3 linked regions of the Arabidopsis thaliana genome follow. The protein of the gene in region 1 interacts with the protein of each later gene in a pairwise test. Each region holds a gene or a part of one and is shown on either strand. Other genes may lie near its edges.

Region 1 (6,938 bases):
TTGTTCCCTATCACTTTGATATGCAGCCTCACACATATGAAATACCATCAAAAGAAACCATTAGGGGCATCACTCCTTCTCCATGCACTGAAGCTTTCGAGGCATGTTTTCATGGCACATCCAACGACCATGTTTTTTTTGGCATGGCCTATACCACCCCACCAACTATTGAACCCAACGTTTCACATGTCTCACATGACAATACTATGTGGGAAAACGATCAAAACCAAGGATTCATCTTTGGAACCGAGTCAACCCTCAATCAAGCCATGGCGGACTCTAATCAATTCAATATGCCAAAACCACTCTTGAGCGCAAACGAAGACACCATCATGAATCGACGTCAAAATAACCAGGTAATGATCAAGACCGAGCAGATCAAGAAGAAGAACAAGAGATTTCAGATGAGGAGGATATGTAAACCCACAAAAAAAGCTAGCATCATCAAAGGACAATGGACTCCTGAAGAAGACAAGTAAATTCAACATCTAATTTTTTGGAATTCTCATAAATAATTTTCTTAATCTAGTATGATATTGTTTTTAATATTAATATTTTCTAATGATTCTACCTATATTTAGGTTATTGGTGCAGCTAGTGGACCTTCACGGAACTAAAAAATGGTCTCAGATTGCTAAGATGCTTCAAGGACGAGTTGGAAAACAGTGCAGAGAAAGGTGGCATAACCATCTCCGTCCCGATATCAAGGTCTCTTATTTTATTTTATTTTCATTTTCTTATTTTCATAGGAGAAACAAAAACAAAATATCATCTTCGATACTTTCAAATTCATTACATGATACATTGAGAATCTTCTAAGAGAATATTAACAAACTTTTTTCACACTTGTCAACATGTATACGGTTTTATTTCATGCATGAATACTTTAAACTTTTGTTTGTATATACATATATGTCTATGACAATTCTTTAAGGCATTTTGTCTTCTTGTTGCGGACAAAACTTCACAATTGGTAAGACATTTAAACTAAAGTCATTGTCACTTGGATTCTCTCATATAATTCAACAAACATAAAAGAGAAAAAAACATATAAAAAATAAAAATATTTGTTTAATATTGTATGTATTATTTACATATAAAGCATATTTTATGTGGTATGTTACAGAAAGATGGATGGACTGAAGAAGAGGATATAATACTGATAAAAGCCCATAAGGAGATTGGGAACAGATGGGCTGAGATAGCTCGAAAACTCCCGGGACGCACTGAAAATACGATCAAGAACCATTGGAACGCGACTAAACGTCGACAACACTCGAGGAGGACTAAAGGAAAAGATGAAATTTCCCTTTCACTTGGTAGCAACACTCTTCAGAACTACATTAGGTCTGTTACCTACAATGATGATCCTTTCATGACCGCAAATGCAAACGCAAACATTGGTCCAAGAAACATGAGAGGTAAAGGTAAGAATGTAATGGTTGCGGTCTCGGAGTATGATGAGGGTGAATGTAAGTATATTGTGGATGGTGTGAATAACTTGGGTTTAGAAGATGGAAGGATCAAGATGCCGTCATTGGCGGCTATGTCGGCCTCCGGATCAGCGTCTACTTCTGGTTCTGCGTCTGGTTCTGGAAGTGGTGTGACCATGGAGATTGATGAGCCGATGACTGATAGCTGGATGGTGATGCATGGATGTGATGAAGTTATGATGAACGAGATTGCTTTGCTGGAGATGATTGCTCATGGTCGTCTTTAGACCGTGCAATATAAACAAGTCGAACTTGATTATATCTACCTATATAATTATGCTATTTATGAAATTATGTTTGTGCTTTTAATTGAAGAATTGGACATGTAATATATATTGTGGTTTAATTGAAGGTTTCTTTTGGACTAAACAAAAATTGAAGGTTTTCTTGCTTTATCAGATTTTTTTTTTGTTATTCTCTAATTTCATTTTAATTAAGAATCTATATATATTGTTAAATTTTCTGTTATACTATATGAATGGTAATTGCGTTTGCGGTTAGGAGAAGACGACCATTAGGTCCACAACAAGTACATTTAGTCACTAAAGAATAATTTTATATCGACTATGCTAAAGAAAAAAAGTACTAGTTGTTTACAAAATATCTGGTTAGTATGATGTAATATGGGATAATATGTGTATGGTCCGTTGTATTGTAATTTTCTGGAATTTGTTACCTTACCGTCATAATGACTATATGGTCCGTCGTATTGTAATACCAGAAATTTTAGGCAAAACACAAACAAAAAAAAACGTAATGAGAGTTTTGTATACATTATATTTTGGTTTTCCATTTGTTTTGTATATCACCATTCGAAAAGTCATACATAACTAAAAGAAAAATACATAAAACTTTTGGGATCTATATTCATTAATGATATTTTGACTAACTACATAGAAAATTGAGATCTTAACCAAATACAATAAACCATTACTTCTTATTCTTTTTGTGCAATTCCTCCAACAAAAAAAGAAAAAAAACTTAACAATTTTAGTCTTAACTACAAATAGTTAAAAATAATAATGGGCTTGTAGATATCTTTCCATTTATATGAGATTTGTGATTTAGGCCTATTTAAGTAAAATACACACGAAACCAAATCGACGTCGTTTGGCAACTAAGCGTTGGACAAACGGAGAAGGTCCCACCTGTCCTTGTCTCCACTCTGTGTTCTCCGATTCCAGTGGGCCTCTGACACCGCCATTGGATTGTTCTTCAGATTTATACATATCTCATATCTCATCACCTTCCAAGTTTCAATTTGACTTCTCCATCACACACAACAACAAGAACAAGGACAAGCTTCTACATTTCTCTTAACATAACGTAAGTATCAAGAATCAAAGCTACTTAATCTTAACACTAATATCTCTATATGTAAATCAATTAAGCTACTTTTAACTCCTCTGCAGAGACAGTTTTTGATCTGGGTTTTCAAGTCCGGTGTTGATCCCATTGAGTTTCGGATCTAAAAGATCCGAATATTCAGACGGATCAACAAGAGAACAAGAAAAAAAAAATGAATCTTGAGAATGTTTTGGAATTCACCAGCTTTGATTACTGGTTTAATTGGAGAGTGTTACTATGTGCTATATGGGTAATAGTTCCAATGATTGTTTCTTTATTAGTCTTATGGAAGTATGAAGATAGTTCAGTTCAAACTCAACCATCACTTAATGGTAATGATGTTTTGTGCATTGATGATGTTTGGAGACCTTGTTTTGAACGAATCCATCCGGGTTGGTTGTTGGGTTTTCGGGTTCTCGGGTTTTGTTTCCTTCTTGCTAACAATATTGCCCGGTTTGCTAATCGTGGATGGCGTATTTACTACTATTATACTCAGTAAGTTCTCTTTAAAGATCTCTGCTTTATTGTGTGGAAAGGGAATATCTTTGATGTTTTGAGACTGATATGATTGAGGTTTTGATTGGTAGGTGGACATTCACTTTGATAGCAATCTACTTCGGGGTATGTTTTGATTTTTGATGTTGTGAATATGTATATGGTTATAGTCAAGTTTGTTTGAATGTTTGTTGTCACTTGTGTGTTGTGTAGATGGGATCATTGCTTTCAATTTATGGATGTTTACAATACAAGAAGCAAGGGAACACTGGACTTATCGCTGATCAAGTAGGAATCGATGCAGAGAACGGGTTTCGTTCGCCTCTTATAGATGGTGACAACATGGTTTCGTTCGAGAAGAGAAAAACTTCTGGTTCGGAAGCACTAAAGTCATATGTTCATCTCTTCCAGATTATATATCAGGTAGACAGATTCCTTTGGTTATTATGATGTATAGTTTGCAACTTTCAGATTTCTTGTTTCATTAGTGTATATATGATCACTGATACTTGTGTGTTTTGGTTTGTTGAAAAACAGATGGGTGCTGGAGCAGCTGTGCTTACAGACAGTATATATTGGACCGTGATTTTCCCGTTTCTGTCTTTACAGGACTATGAGATGAGTTTCGTAAGTTTTCGCGCCATTTACCGTATATTAGTTAAAGCTTGTACACTGCTGATGGCACTTTCTACGTTGCACTTGACCCTCTTGAACTTAGTCTCAACTTCTCTAGTGTCAAAATTCTGTGTTTTCAGATGACTGTGAATTTGCACACAAGCAACCTCGTTTTGCTGCTTATTGACACGTTTCTAAACCGTCTGGTAAAACAATTCTTTCCTCTGCATTTACGACGAGTTTTCGTTTTCATTAATGTGTTGAACCTGAGGTCTTTTTGTGATGTTGCTTTGCAGAAATTTCCATTGTTCAGGTTCTCTTACTTCATCTTATGGACAGGATGTTTCGTTCTTTTCCAGTGGATTCTCCACATGTTTATCTCCGTTGGGTAAAACTCTTCTCTGTCATCTTTTGTATGTTACACTTACCGTCTTGATTAATCTTACACTTGTATTCCTCGATTGACTTAGGTGGCCATATCCATTTCTCAACCTGTCATTAGACATGGCTCCAGTGTGGTAAGCCTTGAAAACATTTACATACTAGACACTAGTCAGGATTGGTTTATATCATAATGTTTCATTCCTTAGAATGATTACGCCTATCCTTAATATTTTAATTCATGCATCTGCAGGTATTTGTTGGTGGCACTCCTGCATCTTCCTTCTTATGGCCTCTTTGCATTAATCGTCAAAATCAAATACAAACTCATTTCTTGAAGTCATTTCGAATCCAAGAGTTTCTGCCCCGTAAGAGTCAGTGCTCAAGGGTTACAACAATCAAAGAAACAATTTTTTACCCCATATGTCTAAAATCTTCAAAACAGATCATTGTAAACGCCACAACATTTCAATGCATAAACTATTTACTTCCGATCCAATTCGCATATCGCAATGAACCATTTCGTAAATTTTTCGCTACCCGAATTGATTTCAGCTCGAACCAAATCGAAAGAACTAACCATAGCAACAGAATATAGTGCAATCTTTGCCAAAAGTGTATGAACTTAATCAAAAACCGAACCAAACCAAACCGAAAACCCGAAAATTCAAGGTTTTAGAATTGAAGATTTGAGTGAGACTTGAGAAGCCAAGTCTGGCTCTCCTAGTCTCAAGAGACCCTTACTCAAAACCTCAGCGACATACTCATCAGCCTCCCATGACTCAGACCCCCAACCACTTTCCCTCATCAAGGTATAAACCCTAACCACCGACTCTCTCCTCTCAGCTCCAACCACAGCCCTAATCAACTTAGCTAAAGCCTTATCATCACTTCTTTGATCAATTCCATCAATTTCACCAATAAGACGATCTATCTCATCGAACTCTTTATTCCTCGTAAGAGCATTAACAATGTCTGCGTATAGAACAAGGTCAAGAGGAGGATACTCTGTACGGAGAGTGGAGAGTACATGGACAGCGAGTGTGCAATAGTCTTGACGGAGAAGCTCACGGAGGACGGAGATGAGATCGGATTTTATGAGACGGCGGAGAGGACGGAGGGTAAGGGAGAGGGAGACACCGGTTCGATGAGCTCGTTTGAGAGATTGGATTGATTGGATTGCTTCGGTGCTTAGGATTCGGCCTTTGAGAAGTGGTCCGCGGTTGTCTCGTGGACCGCATCGGATCGAAACGAACGTTCTCTTAGGAACGATGACGCTAAGGGTATGGCTATGGCTAAGGCTTGGTGGTCGAGTCTGGCTGAGAGAAAGCGCCATTATTAATCACACCAATCTTTACGAGTGTGGTTGTGTGAGTGAGAGAGATGGTCTTTCATTGGGCAAGCCCATATTAATTTATAAAAGGCCCATATGTGACACAAAATTAATTAATTTATACTTTCTAATTATGCGTCGTTTATATTTCTGTTCCCGCTAATTTCTCTACACGAGTCTATCATTACACTTGCAAGAGCGACTCTATCTTCTTCTTTTTTTTCAAATTCTTGTTTCGTTAAAAAGTTAAATTTTATACCAATTTGACGACTTTATCTTCTTCTTTTTTTTTCAGATTGTTTTTTTTTTTGTTAAAAAGTTAAATTTTATACCAATTTTAATTTTTAACATAATTACAAAGATTACAAAATACATATAAAAATAATCTACAGAAAAATAAATACAACATTACTACTAAAAAAGGTTTGGATCGCTTCTAAGCAAAGAAAGCCAAGTTACAAAGAGAACCACCGAATTCGATCTTGTAAAACTTAAGAATTCGCGTGATTTTACCATATGACCTAAGTACTGGAATCTTCATATTTGTTGCCACAATTCTAACTGAAATCAGTCTTCAAAAAATCAAGATAGAATGCTAGCAACATTCTATCTTAAATCTTATATTTCTTTAACTCGTTTAATTACTAATATCCTAAAACATTTTTACCTTATTAAAATATAAATATATGATTTTTTTACTTTTATTTAACCTTATATTTATTCTATTTCGAATTTATATAAAATCTATTTATATATATAATTATTTAAATATTAAATTTAGACATATATTCGATACTTTATTCTATTTTTATAATAAACAAAACTATGATTTTCATCCCTTTTTATTTAGCAACAAAACTATGATTATGTGACCAAATTTACTAGAGAAAAAAGTCAACAAAAGTCAAAGCAAGATACTGTAATAATAACAACGAATTAATTTCAAAAAAAGAGCTATCGACCCACCAACCCTAAAAAACCTTGACGCCGTTTTCTTCTTCGATCTTCTTCTTCCTCCAGAGAAAACAACATGGCCATGGCAACAAGGACTCTAGGCTTTGTTTTGCCTACGAGCTTATCTTCCCAGCCTTCCTTCGACCGTCGCGGCGGTGGATTTAGGGTTTCTGTCATCCGTTGCTCCACTTCTCCACTCACTTTTCCCACTTCTGGTAAATTTTGCCTTCATTTCCGTTTCAAAATTGATGAAATTGTGTATTGTCTCCATTGGGTTTTAGTTCTTGAATAAAGGGTAAAGCTTGGATTTTTCGTTTGAT
Region 2 (6,304 bases), on another chromosome or scaffold:
TTTACTTGTGGGATGAGGTATGCTTCATTAATATTTTTCACTGATTGTCAAAAGGATGTAGTTTTACTGTGGTAATAGTAACATTCTATTCCATTTCTATATCTCATGTACCATCGTTGATGTGTTGTCTTACTTTTAATAACTTTTTGACATCTTTCTTATTACTATTCAATTTTTTTTGGCAGCCACTGAATATGGAGCACTTTGACAACGTTCGCAAGATGGCCAGTGAAATTTACGCCTATGCCCCGGATTCTCGTGTTTTGACTACATACTACTGTGGTATGGTTTATTTTTTGTGGAATTCACATGTTTTAATTAGTTTCTGTCTCTCAAATTTACTTCCTATTTTCTGCTGGGGCTCTGTTTTATTGGTTCTCATGGCTTTGTCTTCCTGTTGATATGAGCTCCAAAATTGGTCAATGGTGAACCATAAATGTAGTTTGTATCAGTAGGTTGATCAGTATACCACACTATGTTATTATGCAGCCCATAATATTAGTTTATTGGGTAACGTTAGTTTGTAAGCAGTTTTCACAATGGTCTGGTAGTTGTATCATATGCTTCATTACAGAGCTTATGGATATTCATACATGTATGTTGGTGAAAAGGGAACTGAAATCTACTAGGTTAAACTGTGACTATGAATTAAAGTTCATAATTTAACAATGCTTTAGCTACTTGAGAAGTTTAGTCAAATAGTCTTACTCTTTTTTTTTTGTAGGACCGGGAGATGCACCTCTTGCTCCGACACCTTTTGAATCTTTTGTCAAAGTTCCAAATCTCCTTCGACCCTATACTCAGATATACTGCACAAGGTAATTGATCATTCAAATTCTCTTAGGTGGCAGTAATTTAATCATTCAAATAAATTGCCTTCTCTTACTTAGGTTTTGTGATTAATGAGGACAAGATCTTAACCTTACCAATCTTTAATTTTAATATCCGGTGGGTGTACTATGTGTGTTGTGTTTATACCTATTAAAAGACACCTAATTGGTTCAGAATAAATTGTATATCATCTGTCAGTTAACAAAAAAATCATTTCCTTTGTCAATATATTTTGAGCAAATACGTCTTTGGTCTTAAATTTTCCCTTTTCCGCCACTCACCTACTTGGATAGACATGGAGGCAGGTGAGTTTAGTATATGAATCTATGATTTAAGAAAGTCTGATGAATTTGGTGAACTTATAGAGAAATCTGTTTTCAACTAGGCTCTCGTTACTTTAATCTTTTATCTCAGTGTTGTTAAATCATGGTTTGATATTCAGTGAGTGGGTGCTTGGTAACCGGGAGGATTTGGTGAAGGATATTCTTGACGAATTGCAGACAGAGAATGGTGAGGTAGGGTCTCTCAGATCTCCATCAACCCTTTTACTTCTTCTTTAGAGAATATTATCCATTGACCCAAGTCTATGTTATTCTCAATGAGGTTTGAAATCGTCTGGTCCATACACCTGAAGTATACTTAACTGAATAGAAATAAAGACTAGAGTTTGGTCAATATAGTTAATTAGTTATCATAAGCTTTGAAAACGTTTGCACGTGTACATGAATACATCTAGCTTTGGTAGTAATGGAATCATCATATGTCGATCAAAGTACTGTAGTTATGGAATGGTTAAATTTGATTCAAGGTCATCTTAATGATGTGCTCATTAGTGGTCCTGTATGTGTTAGCATTTTAGCAACAAGAATCATAAAGAGGACTTTTCTTGCTGGTGCAGGAATGGTGGACATACATATGCCTTGGACCTTCAGATCCTCACCCAAATTGGCATCTGGGGATGCGTGGTACACAGCAACGGGCAGTGATGTGGCGTGTGTGGAAAGAAGGTGGAACCGGGTTCTTGTACTGGGGTGCAAATTGCTATGAGAAGGCAACGGTTCCAAGCGCCGAGGTTATTTTCTTATCCTTAGTTCTGTTGTAAATGTTTCTTGATCGATTGCTTCATGATATTATATAACCAAATGAATAGGTAAAGTTTAGGCGCGGTCTTCCTCCTGGTGATGGAGTTCTTTACTACCCCGGTGAAGTTTTCTCATCTTCTTCAGAGCCAGTTGCTTCACTTAGGCTAGAGCGCCTTCTTAGTGGCTTACAGGTACGTCAACTTTATAGTTTTACCAATCAGATAACAACGAAAAACTGTTCCAGTTGGCTTATTTGGAGAATGAATCAGGATTATGAGTACTTGAAGCTGTATGAGTCAAAATACGGAAGAGAGGAAGCGATGGGGCTATTGGAGAAGACAGGGGTGTACACGGGGCCGGAGCGCTACACTTTGGAACATAGACCGATCGATGTATTGCGAGGAGAAGTGTACAACACATGTAGACCATCTTGAGTAACCAGATCGTTTAGTATCTATAAACACTCTCGGTTAGCCCTAAGTTAATAATAAAAGAACATAACAAGAAAACTCTAACAATGTCTAGATTACCAGTGAAAAAGGTTAATTAGTATGAAAATAATAAAATAGATAGATTTGCTTTGTACTTCTGATTCTTTAATTTGTTGGGAAATACTGTATCTGAAAAAGCTCATTTTATGTGGTGCTAGGTTGATATCATTCATCATAGTCACGTATGAATGGAAGGGCACAAGACATAATCATCCAACAAAAAAGGATATAAAACCTACACTGACTAAAAATTAGGAAAAAATGTTATTTAATCCCCAACTTTCAAAAAATGGCCATTTTATTCGTCAACTTCGTATGCGGTCGTTTAAAACATGAACTAAACGTTGACTAACTTTTAAAACATGATCATTCGTCGACCAGGCCAAAATAGACATGATGTTATCAGTTATTAACGGAACTTCTAACGTCTGTTATCATCTGTTAACGACTTTATTAGTCAAGTTTTAAATTGTGGTCATTTTAAACATCAACTTGGCCATTTAAAACATGAACTAAACGTTGACTACCATTTAAGATATGAACAATTCGTTGACCTGACCAAAATAGACATGTTTTTATCAGTAATTAATAGAACCTAGAAACCCGTTATTATCCGTTAGTGACTGTTAATCAGTCTAAAACGACGTCGTTTGAGAATAAAATTAGTGTCAAAGCGTAAACACACATACAGCCAGCTCTCGGTTCTATCATTAGTGAAAGAACATTACTAGAATTTGATTTATTAGAGGAATAAAGAAGATTGATCAAAAACAGCTTGCATTATTATTCAAAACATAAATCTAGCATATTATAGATAATATTTTTCTTATTGTCTTAGATAAAGTTTCCATTCAACTTTGCACGTCTAAAAGCTCGGAATAGTCCACAAATTATCACATAGAAAAAAACTTATATTCGTGCCGACAAAAACAAACGTTACTTTTTTATATCTGCAAGGACGAGAAAAGAACGGATAAACTCATATATCGTGCACACAAAACATGCGTGTCTTCTACATCTAGAACTGTCGTTACTCGTTACCATCATCACGCCGTTGACCTAGACTCATGCCTATTCTTTAATCGTTTAATATAAACCGTTGGATCCCTTCACACTCCTACGCGTCAAGATCGAACTCATTTTAGGAAAATAATTAAAAAAAAAGACCGAGAAGAGGTAGAGGTATAGGTGGTCAAGTCTTGCCTATAAAAGCTGATCCCAACAAGAATAATTCTTTCATTCACCAAAAAAAACTCATCAATCAAACAAAACTCTTAAAAGCTTAAGAACAAATAATAAAAATGGCCGGTGAAGGAGAAGTGATTGCTTGCCATACCCTCGAAGTTTGGAACGAGAAGGTCAAAGACGCCAATGAATCCAAGAAACTGGTACTTTTCTCTTCTTCTCCTCTCTAGGGTTTCTTCTTCTATTTGATTTGATTACTTTACTTAGGGTTTTCAGTTTTCTTGATCTAGTGGTAAACTGGTAATTCATGTTAGATACAAAACCTTGGTTTTTATCATGTTCATGTACCATGTCTTGATTTGGTCTGAAATTTGATAGAAACTGGTATTTTCTCGTCCTGTCTAGGGTTTTTTTTGTTTTTTAATTTGAGTTGGTTACGTTACTTAGGGTTTAGGGCTTTCTTGGTTAGTTAGCTTAATGGTGAATGATGTTCGAGAAACGGTTGCTTTTGATCCCGTTCTTGTCCCATATCTTGCTCTGGTGGTCCCAAATTGATAGAAGCTAGAACTTTCTCTTGTCCTGTCTAGGGTTTTGTTCAATTTGATTTGATTACTTTACTTAGGGATTACGGTTCGTCTTGATTAGCTACCTTAGTGGTGAATGATAATTGTATCCTGATATGGTCTGAAATTATAGAAACTTTACTTTCTCTTGTTATGTCCAGGGCTTTTTTTCAATTTGATTTGATTACGTTATGGTTTAGGGTTTTCTTGATTAGTTAGTTTAGTGGTGAATGATGTTTGTGTTCTGATTTGTTCTGAAATTTTGATTGAAACCAGATTGTGATAGACTTCACAGCATCATGGTGTCCACCTTGCCGTTTCATTGCACCAGTGTTTGCAGAGATGGCTAAGAAGTTCACTAATGTTGTCTTCTTCAAGATCGATGTTGATGAATTGCAAGCTGTTGCTCAGGAATTCAAAGTTGAGGCAATGCCTACTTTTGTTTTCATGAAAGAAGGCAACATCATTGATCGTGTTGTCGGTGCTGCGAAAGATGAGATCAATGAGAAGCTGATGAAGCATGGTGGTCTTGTAGCTTCTGCTTGATTGATTTCAGTTTCTAACTCTTTGCATCATAATAAAGTTTTTATCTTTCGTATGAAATAAAAGTGATGCATTGCTACTGCACATTTGTATTATAACTATGTTGATTTTTCGATTACTGGTTTGTTATCTCTTGGCTTCAACCACGAACACGAAAATAGCGACACACATTAAGACTGGTTTTAAACACGATAAGAGAGCGTAGGTTGAAAATATGTAGTTATGAACAGAGCAGTGATTAGTTCTCTGATTTCCACTATAAATGTGTGAAAATGTTATGTAATACTATGGAAAAATCACTTTCAACAGCTCATATTTCTCCATCTACGTCACGTCTATATCTCTTTAAGTTCCTTGAAGTTTTATCCAACGTTTCTCTGTTTTTATCCTTGAACAAGAACTGAAACAGAGAAAACAAGAGAAGATGAAGCTGACCTGTAGATTCAAACATTTCCCTATGCTCTTTAGATCCAAAGCCAGCCGCTCGTTCCCTCTAGGCGCGTCAGAGTAGGCCTGTCGATGGGACTAGCATAGACACATAGTGACTCTACTTGAACAAGCGTCAGACTGCATACAGCAGGTTAGAGCTGGTAGGACTTGGTTAGTGATCCACTACAAAAATAATCCATATCAATAGCACACGAGGATAGATCAGTTTTCCCTACTGCAATAAAAGATGAGTTCATAGTTCATATTAAAAATGAGTTCATAGATGCGGCACAGAGAGATGATTCGAGAACAAGTGAGGAGATAACGGATTTAACAATACGGTTGAAGGAGGCTTATATAGATGAAGAACAATATTGGTACCAGAAAAGTAGGAGTTTATGGATGAAGGTTGGGGATAATAACTCAAAATATTTCCATGCTCTAACAAAACAGAGACGGGCTAGGAATCGGATCATAGGACTTCATGATGAAAATGGAAAATGGTTTGCAGAGGATAAAGATGTCCAACATATAGCGGTGTCTTATTTTGAGACTTTGTTTAATAAGTCGAATCCCCAGAATATTGCGGAATCTTTATCAGAGGTTAAAACTTTAATAACGGATCAAATAAATGACTTCTTAACGACACCTGCTACAGAAGATGAGGTAAGAGCGGCTTTGTTTTTGATGCACCCGGAAAAAGCACCAGGGCCTGATGGTATGACAGCGTTATTCTTTCAAAAACCATGGGCTACCATAAAAATGGATATGCTTTTTCTGGTTAACTCTTTTTTACAAGATGGAGTTTTCGATAAACAGTTAAATACGACTAATATATGTTTGATCCCAAAAACGGAACGACCGACTCGAATGACGGAATTAAGACCCATTAGTCTTTGTAATGTCGGGTACAAAATTATTTCAAAAATCCTTTGTCAAAGACTTAAGAAGATTCTTCCAAGTCTTATTTCGGAAACACACTCTGCTTTTGTTGAAGGACGTTTAATTTCAGACAATATTCTTATTGCCCAGGAGATGTTTCATGGATTAAGAACTAATCCGTCATGTAAAGGAAAATTCATGGCGATCAAAACTGATATGAGTAAGGCGTATGATAGAGTTGAATGGAATTTTATCGAGGAATTATTAAAGAAAATGGGTTTCTGTGAAAAGTGGATAT
Region 3 (7,874 bases), 9.5 Mb from region 1:
CCAAGTCTTTAGTTTGTGGTAAAAGAAAAAGATGTGAAATTTTCTGAAACTCATCTAACATACTTGAGTAACATACATGTAGACAGAAAAAAGTTTCGGTGATAGATCCTAAAACCATTTGTAACTTGTAAACCCTGTTAGACAGCAAGACCGATCGATCTAGTAGCGGTTGTGACGCCTGCAAAAAGAATTTTGACATAACCATTTGTAAGGAAAATGTGAAGTTCTTAGGGAAAAAAGAAGACAACCATGACTCTGGTTTTATACCTGTGGCGATCATAGTCCCTTGGTCTATCTCTTGACCTGGACCGTGAGCGTGACCTACGTCTGCTTCTTGAGTGTGACCGATCATAGTCTCTGTCTTGTTCACGATCACGGTCATGGTGCCTATCTCGATCTCTACTCCTGCGATCATAATCTCTTCGATGTTCACGACTAGTTTCTTGTTCTTTCTCTCGGTCTTTACTTGATTCTCTCTCCTTACTGTTCCGTTCCTTTGATCTAAGTATGGTTTTAAGTATTCACTATGAAGTCAATTTCAAATCAACACCGTAATAAAACAATGAAACAAGAAGCTAGAACTAAAACCTAACCTTTCCTTGCGTATATTGGCCTTCTCATCCTGAAGTAAACGAAGAGAAATATAAGAAGGCAGTTTCATCCATCATCAGATAAAGTAGATTGTGTTATTAGTTTACCAGAAGCTCTGTTAATTTGTCCCGGACTAGCATGTATCCTAGATGAAGCTTCCCCCCAAAATGATCAGCTAAACGGCGATCACTGTAGCATCACAAAAGTTCCAATTAGCATAGCCAAATGCTAAACATTTGACGATAGCATATTAAAACAGTATAACGTTAAAAACTCCATTAGTTAATCTCTACTAGTAAGATCCTTCAAGCACAATAAAATCAAGAAAAGAACGCACATTTATTATAGCTGCAAAAGTAATCCTGCCCAAAAAGCCTGCTGGTGAAAGGAGGAGGTACAATAGCCGGAGTCAAAAGACTATTTCTACCTTTTTTCTCTTTCAATCCAAAAGGGAAACAATAATGCAGAAAGTTTGAGCAAGGAACTTAACCTGTCATAGACGCTCAAGAATGCTCCACATATGTCACATAGACGCAACTTTTGGTCTGTCTGAGAAGATATAGGAACAATAAGTGAGGTTAGAAGATGAAACCAATGTGTAGATACATTAAACAGGGGATGCGAAGATGTTATACTTTTGGTCCAAATAGTAACTTTTATGAAAGCAATCAAACGGGTTTACTCAAATAAACTATTACTCTTTACCTAAACGTTAATATATGACTGTTGTCATTCCTATATTCAACGGTACTTTCCAAAACAAACTGATAAATATAGAAGGAATGTGAATCTTTAAGGCATCATTGGGAGGAGTGATGGTAACTTACGATGCGCACATCAACAGCGGTGTACTTCGTTGAATCTGCTGGAGGTTCTCGTCTAACTGTAAGCTGAAACAAATTTAGGCCCAACAATTATTAGTGACTAATAAAAGTAGGGGGAAAAGAAAAAGAAATAAGAAAGAGAACACACCTTCTTAAGAGCTTCAGCCTCTTCCAGGGCTTTCTGGGCTTCATCAACCATTCCTTGTTCACCTAAAATATCAAATAACCATACAATCTATATAAAACTTCGTGAAGTCCAGTGTTTCCTTAACATAGATATAGTAACATACAACGGGAAGAAATTTCCTTATCTTAGGTATATACAGTTTAAGCAATTTATAGGTTAGGAAATCTTAGATTAGCCAGTAGAAATTCCCAGCCGGCAGGGAATACTAGACCGTGGATATTTAAGCAGTTTCAACTTTCCACTACAATGAGCTCTAAATTAAGATGACCATAGACAAATAACCAAACACAAATTAGGGTTATTTCCCTTACCAAGATCTTCTGCCTTCTTCAGTTTCTCATTTATCATTTCTTGAGTGCGAGGATCCGGTGGAGGTAATTCGGAAGATGGTGGTTGAGCTGGAACGGGCTGTGGCAAGGATGCTCTATCTTTGTTGAAGGCTTCCAACAGCAACACCGCCTACATGAAAAAACAAGACAAAGGACTTTCTAGTTGACATAGGTAAAGTAAAAAAGCAAAAATGCTCATTAAGCCAATAGCGAAAGCAAATTCACCTGTTGGTCAGCTCTCTTGGTCCTCATCTCTTCGACTAACTCAAGAGCTCTAATCTTAAGATCCATTTTGCCTTCAAGATCTGCAAAGTGACATCAGAACTTTGAAAGACTACCAATAACCAGTCAAGAATTATTTGCAAAAACAAAGCCGAAACAGCAAAGTAATATTTGCTGGGCAATATTCTTTTAATTTTTACCGTGGATATCTGCTTCCTTCATCTTCTCTTTGATTTTCTCCGATAACTCGAGAATTTCAGGCGACTGCAGTTAAACAATGTAATGATGATAAACAAACCTGAGTGTTGCAAACTTAGAAGACACATAAACCAAATTTCAAAATCAAATAATCACCTGAGTGACTTCAGAGACAGAAATGGCAATGGCAGCTTTGGCGTCCTCTTCTTGAAGACGCTTAAGGGCCCTACCAATCTTCCTATCACACTCAACGATAAGCCTGTCTATGGCATCTTCCAATTCCCTGTCGTAGTTATCAACACCTTTTGCCCTTGCTTCTCGGTATCTAAGGGCGAGTTAAAGCAACACAGGAGTGGAAAGAGAACAACATGCCACTGTAGAATCAAACTAAACATAACAATGACACCAACTTTTTTTTGTAACTAATCTGCATAGGCTAGTCTTATATGCACTATCCATTCATTTAACGTATTATCTCAAGCAAAAACCAGGAAGAAGAGCAAAAACATGAGCAAAAAACAGATATCAACCCAATTAGTAAGTATGTTCAAATGTCAAATTCAATTGAAAGAGGCCATGGAAGTAGGCGGCCTTCATGGTAACCGTATAAGGTAAATACTAAACTTACTGTAAACAAAGGATACTCTTTCCGAAGCTGCAAAGAGTGCACCTTTGGGCATGGTCCCATATCCATTTTCTGATAACAACAGAAATGTAAAAGGAGCATCAGTTATTAGGCAAACCAAAGTAGCCATGCACTAAATTACTAGACAGATACTCATAGAAAACAGTGAAGCGATACAAGTTTCAGAATTCAGATATACTCTATAAGATACAAAACTGCACACTGTATCAAGTAACCAAATACCAGTTATCAATTCGAGCTAAAGCAGAAACACAAAAGATTAGCTCAAAAGTGAAATTAGGGTTTTTTTATTCAAAGAGACAACTAAGTAATAAACTGAAAAAATATAAAGGTAAGCACCGTCAATTGGAAGAGATCGTGAGGGCAGAGACCAGACAAGTAAAGACGACACACATCACGGTCGTAGTATTTGCGATTCACCTCCTGAACGTCGCCGTTTCGGTTAGCTCCCATGAGCACATCAAGCTGCTTCCTTATAGCGTCCATAGTCGTTCTCTCTCTCTCTCTCTCTCTCTCTCTCTCTCTCTCTCTCTCTCTCTCTCTCTCTTTCCTCGTCCTCTCTGCAAACAGAGATTTGGGGTTTTTTGATCGAAAGACAACACAATGATAGGAACAATGGCATTCGGATGTAATAAGATTTTGGTATATAAGATTAATTGCATACAGGTCCCTATATATTAATAATTTATGTTCTACTCCTACATTTATTTCTGTCAACATATTTTGCCCACGGGTAAGAAGACTTGGTCTCTCGCTGGTTGCTTCAATCCGAGAAAATGCTGACTCTACTCTTCTTCTCTCTCGGAGCGCTTCTTCTTATCGTTCTGCTCTTCAAATTTGCATTCGCCGATGGTAATAACTCTGACGATTTCTAATGCAATGTTTAACTTCTTTTATGTATAAAAGGATTGATCTTTGCTTTGTGTAGGAGATTTTACCTTGATTTCGAAGAAGCATGTGAAGCGTGAGGCCATACAAGGCAAGGTACTGGATTGATAGAGGAAAAAATGGAATTTAGTGGGATTGATTTGAGTTTTCGATTATTTCAATCTCTGAGCATTAATTCAGATTTCTTGGTTTTGCTCAGGTCGTCTGGATCACAGGGGCTAGCCGTGGAATTGGTAACGAATGTTTTCTTAGGATTATATATCTGTGAAGAGATAACTTTTATTGTGGCTGCTTACTCTTCATGTTTATGATTGGATTCAGGTGAAATTCTTGCTAAACAGTTTGCAAGTTTAGATGCCAAGCTTATTCTCTCTGCTAGGAATAAAGCTGAACTGGATCGGGTTAAGAGTGAGCTTAAAGGTACTTTCTTACACAATGAATCAAAGAAAGCTCTCCAGTTTACAATTGTGAGCTTTTTGTTGACACGTGATGTAACTGACTCTGTATTCTTCTTCTAGGTAAATTTGCACCAGAAGATGTCAAGGTTTTGCCTTTAGATTTAGCTAGCGGCGAAGAGTCACTCAAACATGTTGTAGAGCAAGCAGTGTCGCTTTTCCCTGGAGCTGGTGTTGATTATTTGGTTCACAATGCTGCCTTTGAGCGTCCGGTAAGTAATTTCCTTGCTAAAGTTTTGTATCTACTCAATAGAGAGTCTTAGGCTTTAGATATGTTTACTCAAGCGGGTGTCATCATCATACTCTTTTCCTTGCAGAAATCCAAGGCATCGGATGCAAGTGAGGAAACTCTCAAGGTACTAAAATTAATTGCGTAAAATTCGTAGGCAAGATTATTAATTCTTGAGGAAACTCTCAAGGTATTTTTTGTTTCTATTGCCATAGTTAGCCTGTAACAATTAGGACATGGGTGATTTTGATATTTCTTTCTGACATATGGTTAATCTATGATTTTGTGTGCAGACTACATTCGATGTTAATGTCTTTGGGACGATATCTCTGACAAAGTTGGTAGCTCCTCATATGCTAAAACAAGGAGGGGGTCATTTTGTTGTGGTACGTGGAGACTACTGGGGGATAGTTTTTGTTAATTTTGTGGAATTATATTTAAGGATTGAGCTTCATATCATAGTTTATATATGTGGATAACATTGCGTTTTATATGTTAGTTAATTGTTGTAATCACAGTATTGAATCTTGACTATATATGTTAAATCTGAGGATACTAGGGTATATAGACAATTTAAGGTTTCGTTCAGGTTAGTATTTACCATAGCTTGAATGTTATGGAACTCAGGCTATGATCATGCACTAATTGTCCATTTTATTGGGTTAAATGTCATGAGTAATAATTCACGTCAATTATGCTCAGATAAGCAGTGCTGCAGGAAAGGTACCATCACCTGGACAGGCTATATATTCTGCTTCAAAACATGCTCTTCATGGCTACTTCCACAGCTTGCGTTCTGAGGTATGTTAGAAGTAAAGAAACTGTTGTGCTTGCTAATTAGTTGGCAGAAATTGACTTATTGAAATCACAAGTGAAAATTTACAGCTACTCCTGAGTTTTAATAAGCTTCATATGTTGATTCGCTATGTTTTTTCATTTACATTTTATTGTTGAAAATAGCACAATCAATTACAAAAACTAACAGTTAGTTTACAATCATCTGTGCATGGTTTCAGTTCTGTCAGAAGGGAATCAAGGTTACCGTCGTTTGTCCTGGTCCAATAGAAACCTGGAATGGTACAGGAACATCAACTTCGGAAGACAGCAAGTCTCCTGAGGTTGGTACTTATTATGATTGTGATTATTTGATTAAGTTGTGAGCAGCAAGTACTTCTCCCATTGCTTGATTCATTATTTCCTTGTAGATACACGTAGAATCATATTCTTTGTCAACATTTGGAGATTCTAACTTCAGCTCCTTGCTCAACTTGATTTCTCTCAAGCATCTATTCTCTTTGCTACGCAGAAACGTGTGTCATCTGAACGATGTGCAGAGCTGACTATAATCGCTGCATCTCATAACTTGAAGGAAGCTTGGATTTCATATCAGGTACATCTTTATAAATATTGCATATGTGATACTCGGTTTAGATGTCTGATATATAAGTTTCTTTTTCACTGTTTTTCAGCCAGTACTACTCGTGATGTATCTAGTGCAGTACATGCCTTCCCTTGGCTTCTGGCTCATGGACAAGGTACTTTGCTCATCCATTAATTTTCTTCAAAAGTTACCGGTATGAGATGTCGTTTTGTTTCCATTATAATGTGACAAACACATCTGACAAAGAGAAAACAGGGGCAGTTATTACTCTGTTGAAAGCAGTCTTTTGATTAAAATGAACGGCTTGCAGGTTGGAGGAAAGCGTGTGGAGGTCGCGGAAAAGAAAGGCAACACATACTCGTGGGATTTACTGTTCGGGAAGAAGACTAAAACAAACTGAAGCTGATTCTCTAGAAGATACACATAGATGTGGTTGGTTGAGCCTTAGTCCGTAAATGTGGTTGGTGTTTGTTTGCTAGTTTGATTGTTAAATAACTACCAAAGCGTCGAAAAATGTTTTGTTGCCTTGTGAGGTGCTCAATAAGTAAGAAAAGATGTGATCTTCTGTGATTTAGCTACTCGTACACACAAACAAACACAAATTTAACATCATCCGAGTGTAGAGAAATCAAAACCCTTCAAATTGAGTAGTTTCTCTGCGCACAAAGGTTTTCAGATGCAGCTACGAGGTAACCCCAGCTGTGTATTCATCCAACAGGCTTTTGATCCCACTGGACTTCAGTTCCTACAAAAGAAGAACCGAAAAGAAAGCTATATGATGCATACATTGAAGACTAACGAAAGCTTCTGGAGTTTGACTTGCTGCCAGAAACTCACAGACAATACTCCTGCCAAAGCTGCAGAAGGCTGATTAGCTGGTTTTGCAACACGAATAGCTACAACACCGTTCATTCTTTCCTTCTCTTCAGAATAAAAGTTTCGGTAAACTTGAACACCTGCAGATAGAACATCATTTCAGGTTAGAACAAAGTCCACATAGCAAAAGAGACGCTTTCCAAACGTTCTATGTTATGGTAAAGATCTTCAAACCTTCTTCTATACTTTCAACTCCAGGAAGAACTTTGGCAAGACCCTCCACTTTCAGCATTTCTGAGAATGAAGTATAACGGTGAACGTCCTGCCCTCATCAAAATGGTTAGTAACAAGAGGTATAGTGTTTGCCTCACAAGGAAGAATTGACAGAGATACAAGATTGATGACTACCTGAACTTCAAGCAGCAAGCATTTATTGAACAAAAGAAAATCTCCTGAACTAATTCTGTGAGTAAACCAATTTTGAAGTCAATAAGACAATCTAAAGCTATTGGAATCAGCAAAACAGAAAACCCGGAAAAGCAAGCACAAGAGATGAATGTGAATTAACATTTGCACAAAGATAAAAACATCAGACCTCATGTAGTCTCCCACTGCGCATCTTCCTTCAACAGTTTTCAAACCATCTGACAAATTGAGAGGCACCCGGAAATAAAAGTGAGATTGAGCAAATATAATTGTAATACTACAATCAAGTAACCAGAAAATGTACCTTTCAATTGGGTGAAGTAAGGCTCTTGGACATGAAGCTCAAAGTTCACCTCCTTCAACATCTGAAACAAAGAACCTTTTCTGTGTAAAAATTCCAAAAACTAACTTTTCCCACTCTGTTTTGATGCAATAATAGTTGAGAACTAAAGTTTTCATATAGACTTACATTTATTAAGTCATATCCCAAGCCATGAATCAGTTTGCTGTATTTTTCCAAGTTAGAATTTTTATCACCCTCGGAAGCTAGACATTCAGACAAAGCCGTTGCTAGAAGCTTGTACACCGCAGATTTTTCTGTTAATTGAAACATTTATGAGAAAATTTCAGTTATTTCTCTCCAGCATTCAAGTTTCATAATTTGCTTCCTAATTAGCAAAAC

The links.
Region 2: the proteins of AT3G27770 (region 1) and TRX5 interact in a protein complementation assay, tested with the Arabidopsis thaliana proteins (one large-scale study listed by BioGRID).
Region 3: the proteins of AT3G27770 (region 1) and AT3G03330 interact in a protein complementation assay, tested with the Arabidopsis thaliana proteins (one large-scale study listed by BioGRID).

The regions. Positions count from the first base shown.
Region 1 is NC_003074.8:10,283,549-10,290,486, reverse strand, and holds AT3G27770 (plant/protein), read left to right. Parts: upstream 1-2,555; 5' UTR 2,556-2,819; intron 2,820-2,905; 5' UTR 2,906-3,012; coding exon 3,013-3,335; intron 3,336-3,427; coding exon 3,428-3,461; intron 3,462-3,548; coding exon 3,549-3,758; intron 3,759-3,872; coding exon 3,873-3,962; intron 3,963-4,090; coding exon 4,091-4,156; intron 4,157-4,246; coding exon 4,247-4,338; intron 4,339-4,420; coding exon 4,421-4,468; intron 4,469-4,584; coding exon 4,585-4,669; 3' UTR 4,670-4,830; downstream 4,831-6,938. Other genes in the region: MYB118 (myb domain protein 118), read left to right, coding at 27-475, 582-708, 1,127-1,720; EMB3123 (PPR containing protein), read right to left, coding at 4,999-5,667; CARA (carbamoyl phosphate synthetase A), read left to right, coding at 6,695-6,833.
Region 2 is NC_003070.9:17,073,658-17,079,961, reverse strand, and holds TRX5 (thioredoxin H-type 5), read left to right. Parts: upstream 1-3,544; 5' UTR 3,545-3,705; coding exon 3,706-3,792; intron 3,793-4,428; coding exon 4,429-4,698; 3' UTR 4,699-5,020; downstream 5,021-6,304. Other genes in the region: AT1G45150 (alpha-1,6-mannosyl-glycoprotein 2-beta-N-acetylglucosaminyltransferase), read left to right, coding at 1-17, 186-282, 725-818, 1,274-1,346, 1,730-1,903, 1,982-2,104, 2,183-2,347.
Region 3 is NC_003074.8:782,048-789,921, reverse strand, and holds AT3G03330 (NAD(P)-binding Rossmann-fold superfamily protein), read left to right. Parts: upstream 1-3,717; 5' UTR 3,718-3,773; coding exon 3,774-3,849; intron 3,850-3,925; coding exon 3,926-3,981; intron 3,982-4,084; coding exon 4,085-4,118; intron 4,119-4,206; coding exon 4,207-4,305; intron 4,306-4,403; coding exon 4,404-4,552; intron 4,553-4,657; coding exon 4,658-4,696; intron 4,697-4,862; coding exon 4,863-4,955; intron 4,956-5,271; coding exon 5,272-5,370; intron 5,371-5,585; coding exon 5,586-5,687; intron 5,688-5,875; coding exon 5,876-5,959; intron 5,960-6,038; coding exon 6,039-6,104; intron 6,105-6,260; coding exon 6,261-6,350; 3' UTR 6,351-6,590; downstream 6,591-7,874. Other genes in the region: UNE6 (LUC7 related protein), read right to left, coding at 160-178, 268-501, 594-622, 699-780, 1,082-1,140, 1,419-1,481, 1,564-1,625, 1,914-2,061 and 5 more; AT3G03320 (RNA-binding ASCH domain protein), read right to left, coding at 6,633-6,695, 6,788-6,906, 7,001-7,088, 7,175-7,229, 7,362-7,410, 7,497-7,557, 7,662-7,789.